Callithrix jacchus: one gene and its partner. The protein of the gene in region 2 interacts with the protein of the main gene of each other region in a pairwise test. Links are inferred from orthologs where the notes say so. Each region holds a gene or a part of one and is shown on either strand. Other genes may lie near its edges.

Region 1 (3,379 bases), on a different chromosome or scaffold from region 2:
AACTACGTAGGTCAAACAACCCATCAGTTGGCTAGCTGTGGCCCCAGGGTTCCCATTGGGAGACCCTGCTGGGAACCAGGAAGGGCAAGTGAATGATCCAAGGCCAGGGCTACACATGAAGGCACGAGGGTGAGAGCTGTTGAGGGCACTCGCTGAGGGCAGGGTGGGAGCAGACATCCAGCTGGGGCATCACTCACCAGGCTACACTGCCGGGTGCTGCAGAGGGTCTTGCCAGAGTGTGGGCTGACGGCTTCCAAAGCAGATGGCTGCCCCATCACTGCACTCAAGGCCTGGCCTTGCTAATGCTTTCCCAGATGTATATCTTCACACACACGAGTAAGTACCACGGAAAGAGACCTGGGTCTAAAGTAAGCAACTCATCCTAGTTTGCCTGGGGTTTTATGGTTGTAAATATGGAAGTCCGACAACCCAGAAACCCCCTTAGTCCGATGCAAGCCGGGACAGTTGGTTTGCTTAGAGTCCTGCTCCCTGCGCACCCCCAGCCCGCCAGGGGAGAAGGATAATGGCAGCCACGACGTGTGGCTTATCAAGTGCCAGAAGACACCATGCATGATAACCTGCATCGCTTCCCCCTGCCCATACTGCCCCCAGCTGTGCCCAGGCTCTTCTCTGCCTGCACATTTGCCCCTGAATGGGTCAACCTGAGAAACCCTCAGGGGACATTGTTCCCACTCCACCCTCAGACCCCCTGTGCTGTCATCATGTTGCTAACTGCACCCCAAGGGAGGAGGCTGGTGCTTAGAAAGAAACGCTTGCTGGTGATTTATTGCACGGGCTGGGGGAACCATCCAGAGCAGAGGTGGGCAAGAGAGCAGGGGGTGAGGGTCCCAGGGGGCTCTGGAGGCCACTGAACCAGCCCTTCGGGGGTCCCTGTGCGGGGCTCTAATCATAGTTGGGGTCAGCATGGGCCTGGCGTGCCGTGAGGTGGCTGGTCAGATAGTTCATGGCTGAGCGGACGCCCTCCATGGTCCTCTGCTCCACTGTCTCCAGCACGTGGGCGATGGTGCGCAGGGCCGAGCCGGTCCCGGACACCAGCCTGGAGGAGAAGGCCGAGCCGACGCTTCCCAGCATGCTGGAGACCGAGTGCAGGCTGGGCCCCGAGCTGTGCAGCAGGTCTGCCACAGTGCTGTGGTCAGAGGCCAGGAAGCCCGTGGCCACAGCCATGCCCATGGCAGTCTCGGACCACACCAGGATGTCTGCCAGGGAGCTGATGGAGCCCTCACCCCTGCCCAGCAGGCTGGTCATGGAGTACATGTAGCCGTTCTCATCACTGGCCATGTACAGGCTGGGGTCCAGGGGTCTCCTCCCCAGGGCCACCTCTTGGGGGCCAGGTGACGGGAGCACATTGCCTGTTGGAGATGGAGGGAAGAACAAAACCTGTGGGTCTCCTAAGCTGTCCACCACGTTCTCCCCCATGGCCATCGGGGACTCATCGGATGGCAAAGCTTCAGCGTTGGGGTGTGGGGCCTTCAGACACTCAGCTTTCTCCTTTGCAGCCTTGGTGGTGCCAGTGGCCTCAGGGCCATGCTGGCCATCGGCACTGGCTGTGACCTTGTCAGCATCACTCCCAGCCGGCTGAGCCTCCATGTGCTGGGTGGACTGTGGCTCAGCACTAGGGGCAGAGGGGGCTGACTCCCGCTCTCTCCTGGGAACACTCGCCGTTTGTGATGTCTTGTCCTTACCCAGGAGGTGACCCGGGAAAACCACTAGACTCTGACTTGTCCTTGTGTCTTGAACTAGCGTGTCCCACGCTGGATTCTGGAGGCTCATAGACATTTGCTGGGGACCTGGGTTTTGGCTGGGAAGCAGGGCTGTGATTTTTCTAGGTGTCTTCTGGTCATGTTCTGGAACAACTGCACCCTTGTCTTTGTCCCCAGATGTTGACATGGCCTCCGGAGTGGTTGTCTGGAAGGAGGCCTGATCAACATCCTGCTGGTCTGTGGATGCGGCAGAGCTGCTCACCACCAAGACATCTGCTGTGAGTGGGACCTGACCTTGGGGCCCTCCTGCTGGGATGTCCTTAGAAGTGTTGTCAGCCACGTTGCCTGGGGGGACCCCGGAAGTGCCATGTGTGGGGCTGCTGGTGGTGCTGGCCTCTACGGAGGGCTCTCCTGTGGTCATCTATGCTCTTTGCTACTTGTGGCAGTTGGAGGGAGTGGCTGCAGCCCAGCTGGGCTGGGTTGTCCAGGTGGCGAGGTCACAAGGGACTGGTCACTGGTGATGTCACAGGTACCTGTAGAGCAAGGGTCCTGAGCCTCTGGAGCAGCCTTCCAAGTGGGCTGAGTCTATGGGACAATTTGTCACCAACTTTGCAGGTATATAGGAAAAAAATGTCTTGGAAAGGGCTGGAGGGGTGTATACAGGGACAAGTACAGCCACAGGCCTGCAGGAGGAGTGAGAGCTGGGACTTTGACAGATGAGAAGGGATGCAGATGTTGACTCAGAATCAGTGTTGGCCTGGCACGGTGGCTCACGCATGTAATTCCAACACTTTAGGAGGCTGAGGCGGGCGGATCACCTGAGGTTGGGAGTTCAAGACCAGCCTGACCAACATGGAGAAACCCTGTCTTTACTAAAAATACAGAATTAGTTGGGCATGGTGGCAGATGCCTGTAATCTCAGCTACTAGGGAGCCTGAGGCAGGAGAATCGCTTGAACCTGGGAGGCGGAGATTGCGGTGAGCCGAGATTGCGCCATTGCTCTCCAGCCTGGGCAACAAGAGTGAAACTCCATCTCAAAAAAATAAAAAAATAGAATCAGTGTTTATAAGGGATCCCTCCTGGCACCTCTCTGTCTACTCTGGAGCCTCAAGACCCCAATTTAAGCTGGGCATGGTGGCTCATGCCTGTAATCGGCACTTTGGGAGGCTGAGGCAGGTAGATCACCTGAGGTCAGGAGTTTGAGACCAGCCTGGCTAAGATGGTGAAACCCTGTCTCTACTAAAAGTACAGAAATTAGCCTGGCATGGTGGTGGGTGCCTGTAATCCCTACTCGGAAGGCTGAGGCAAGAGAATCACTTGAATCCAGGAAGTAGAGGTTGTAGTGAGCTGAGATCACACCATTGCACTCCAGCCCGGGCAGAAGCAGACTCTGTCTCAAAAAAGAAAACGAAATTAAGAAAGACCCTAATTTAATCAGTTTCCTGCAGGGAATCATTTTCCCAGCAGTGAGAGTAGGAATAAGCAAAAGCCAAGGGCCTGGGCAGCTCCTGACCAGCTGTGGCTGCAGGGTTAACCCTTTTGATGTAGGGAAAAAATCTCCATCTTCTCCTTGCCCAACCGGTCTGGGAGGGCAGAGAATAACAAAAGGTCTACAGACCTCTGAGTATTCCTCAGAAAAGGATAACGCCGGATAAACT
Region 2 (3,813 bases):
CATCCCCTATGGTCTGCCCTGTAGGTTCCCTCTGCAAGGCTGTTACCTCCCAGAGGTGCCCAATGATGGGAGCGTCTGCCCACGCATGTTCTGCATTGAGACCCAACTGGCCATTCTTGAAGGAAATGAGAGTGAAGGATTTGTCAAACCACCTGCAGGAAGAGTAGATGCATGAAGAGCCAAAGCTTAGAATGTCCGCAGGATCCTGACCTGCAACCCTAACCTTTTTTTTTTTTTGAGACGGAGTTTCGCTCTTGTTACCCAGGCTGGAGTGCAATGGCGCGATCTCGGCTCACCGCAACCTCCGCCTCCTGCGTTCAGGCAGTTCTCCTGCCTCAGCCTCCCGAGTAGCTGGGACTACAGGCGCGCACCACCATGCCCAGCTAATTTTTTGCACTTTTAGTAGAGACGGGGTTTCACCATGTTGACCAGGATGGTCTCGATCTCTTGACCTTGTGATCCACCTGCCTCGGCCTCCCAAAGTGCTGGGATGACAGGCGTGAGCCACCCCGCCCAGCCCGCAACCCTAACCTTTAACCCTAACTTGGATGTTACCTCTAATCCTAGCCCTAATACTAACACAACCCTAATTTCTAGCCCTATTCCTTTTTTTTTTAGATGGAGTCTTGCTCTGTCGCCCAGGCCAGAGTGCAGTGGTACGATCTTGGCTCCCTGCAACCTTCCGGGTTCAAGGGATTCTCCTGCCTCAGCCTCCTGACTAGCTGGGATTACAGGTGCCTGCCACCACGCCCAGCTTCTAACCCTATTCTCTAACCCAAACCCTAACCTTTAACCTTAAGTGCTAACCCTACCTAACCACTAATCCTAATCTTAACTCCTTCTTTTTAAGATGGGGTCTTGCTATGTTGCCCAAGCTGGTCTTGAGCTCCCAAAGTGCTAGGATCACAGGTGTGTGCCACTGCACCCACCCCATAACCCTCCCTTCTTCTATCTTTAATCCTCTAACTGTAACCCTAAGCTGTAACCTGTGGGGCTGGGGATGACCAACCTGTTGTAGCAGTTGCCATGTAGCAGGGCCTTGCCATAGAGGCTGAGGCTGGCCTCATCTTCGGGGTCGTACCAGTAGGACTCCTCATCCAGGGCCACAAAGAAAGCGGCACGCTCGATGGCCTCCAAGGCAGCCTTGTTCTTTCCGGAGCTGAAGAAGGCCTGGCGTGCCTGCGCCCACTCCACCCTGTGGCATGGGGCAGAGTTAAGCAGTGGGCACATGGACTTGGGATGGAGGGTGCATCCGAGGGCCTGGCTGGGTCTGGAGATGGGAGGGTACTAGGCTGGGCCTGCAGGTGGGCAGTGGTGCCAGGCTGGGCCCAGAGGTAGGGGGTGCCAGGCTGGGCCCGGAGGTGGGGGTTCCAAGCTGGGCCCAGAGGTGGGGGGCACCAGGCTGGACCCAGTAGTGGGAGGTGGCAGGCTGGGCCCAGAGATGGGAGGTGCCAGGCTAGGCCTGAAGGTGGGGGTGCCCACCTTGCACACTTCAGGCTGTCTTAGAGGGTGTCCCCTGCCTTGCACACTCCCACCTAGCTGCCACCCGTCAGACGTAGGTTACACTGGCTGTCATGCTATGATTACCACCAATGCCCCTCCCTGGTTGTGCCTCTAGCCCCCAGTTCCAGGGTGGCAGGAAGGGCCATGCTCCTCTCCGCATGGAGACCTGAACCTCGGGGTGAAGACAGTCCCTCCCCACAGGCCGATACCTTCCTCCTGCAGTGAGGGCTGCCAGCTTCTCCTCCCCAGGCTGAGGCGGGGAGGGGTCGTCCAGGATTCTCTGGAATTGCATCTGCAGATCCCGAGGCTGGAGCAGACGGGAGCCCTCATAGAGCCACAGCTTGAAGAAGCGTCCTTTGTGGTAGACAGCCACATGCCGGCTGTCCGAGAGGTGTTGTAGCGTATCTGTGACAGAGATCGGGGCAAGCTGAGGTGGGCCGTGGGAAGCAGCTCATGGCCCCAGGTACATCCTGAGAAAGGTCCACCTCCCATGCGCTAGGTGGCCCCTGCAGACCCCGCTTTGCTCGGCCTCTGCCTGGGCCTTCCTGCCCCCTGGATGGGATCTGTGTGTCCTAAACCAGGACCTGTGCTGGGTGCTTCTGCTGCCTCTCATAACACCAACAACAATCCTATAAAGTATTTCACAGAAGAGGAAACAGAAGCACTAGGAGGTTATGCACATGGCCTGAGGATACAGGGTCAGAAGCAAGGAAGGCTACCGCCTCTGCCAGGCCCCTGGGTGTGCCCTTCCTCTCCTCCTCTGCCAGCTCCATGGCAGCACCAGGCCTATCCTAAGCTCTGGGTTGCAGCAGGACCCCCTTGCGCACACACAGTGAAACCTGGATTGGGGGGCTCTGCTTTGGGCCCTGTGGGGTCCCAACACCAGCAGCATGCCTGCTAATAATAGATGTCTAGTAAATGTCACGAATAGACTACTGTTCGCAGTTTCAGGACCCTGAGACACTGGGGACACTTGGTGATGAGCAGGTAGGAGGGCACCGAGCCAGGTGGGCCATAGGTAGGAGGAAGCGGGCTCCATTACCTGTCTCCTTGCCCGGGATCCGAGTGGTGTTGAACATCCTCTCCATCTGGTAGGAGCACATGGGCACCATGCCCAGTGCCATCACCTAGGGGAAGGCCCAGCATGGCTCAGAGTCAGGTCTCCTCTCCCATCCCACCTTCAATCCTGATGCAACTCACAGGCTTGATTTCTTCACGGTCCAGTTTACGGCGATACATGATCATGGCATGGATGATGTTTCCCAGACGGGCTGCCTGCACGTCTGTATTCCTGATGAGCACAAGGTCCTAAAGAGAAAGCAGAGCCCACAGGGTGGGTGCCTCTGTCGGGGTGGCACCTGGATCTTGCCGACCCAAGGACCAATCTATCTGGGGGCCTGAGGTGTTGTCTCCCTCTTCCAGTCCATCCTGCACATGCTGTGGGGGTGAACCTCCAGAAATGCACAACTGATCACAGTAACCCTCTGCTCCAGCTTCAGCCATCCTGCACATGCTCTGGGGGTGAACCTCCAGAAATGCACAACTGATCACAGTAACCCTCTGCTCCAGCTTCAGCCTGAGCTGCTTTTTTTATTCTTTATTTTTTAGAGTCAGGGTCTTGCTCTGTCACCCAGGCTGGAGTGCAGTGGGGCAAGCATGTCTCATTGCAGCCTCAAATTCCTGGCCCTAAGTGATCCTCCTGCCTCAGCCTCCTGAGTCGCAGGGATGAAAGGCATGCACCACCAAGCCTGGCTCGGAGCTGCCCTTTTATAACCTATTTTATGTGCACGTGTTCTACTTATTTTGCTTTGATAAAGGGGCTCTACCGCTAAAAAGCAGTTTGAAACCTCCGATAGGGACAAGTTGTGTCTAAGTTTCAGGAAGGATAGTTTATGGAGAAGAATTCCAGTAGACTCTCCCGAGTTGAGTGTGCTTCGGACAGTGGAAAAGGGGAGAAGAGGAGGGTCATGCAAGACCCAGAGACTCAGGAGGGCCAGTTACATGGGACAGAGGCAGACTGTGACCTCCTGAGCTCTAAGAGAAGGAGCCTGGCCTTCATTCTGCTGTCTGGCTCTGCAGAGGGACACAAAGCAAGACATGTTCTAGAAAATTCCCTGGTTATGGTGTCAGGACAGCTAGGAACCCATGGCCAGGAGGCCAGTAAGGAAACCAGGGAAAGAGGTGACAGAGCCTGAGCTGGGCAGGGGCACTGACCCTGAGACTCTAAGAGAGGCAGTGACAGGCTGGGGGGGGGTCTCCACTCTCCTCATTCTCAGGATCCCCGTCATCCCTAAGCTGCTTCTGGACTCT

What was found.
Region 1: the proteins of CPT1B (region 2) and TEX44 interact in binary tests that used the Homo sapiens proteins (3 or more experiments, as listed by UniProt). The two-hybrid records come from large-scale screens. The link is inferred for Callithrix jacchus from reciprocal best matches to the Homo sapiens genes CPT1B and TEX44.

Annotation. Positions count from the first base shown.
Region 1 is NC_133507.1:153,024,964-153,028,342, reverse strand, and holds TEX44 (testis-expressed protein 44), read right to left. Parts: upstream 2,179-3,379; 5' UTR 2,143-2,178; coding exon 904-2,142; 3' UTR 746-903; downstream 1-745.
Region 2 is NC_133502.1:219,153,222-219,157,034, forward strand, and holds part of CPT1B (carnitine O-palmitoyltransferase 1, muscle isoform), read right to left. Parts: intron 2,812-3,813; coding exon 2,704-2,811; intron 2,631-2,703; coding exon 2,546-2,630; intron 1,909-2,545; coding exon 1,713-1,908; intron 1,196-1,712; coding exon 1,010-1,195; intron 153-1,009; coding exon 47-152; intron 1-46. UniProt on the Homo sapiens protein: Catalyzes the transfer of the acyl group of long-chain fatty acid-CoA conjugates onto carnitine, an essential step for the mitochondrial uptake of long-chain fatty acids and their subsequent beta-oxidation in the mitochondrion.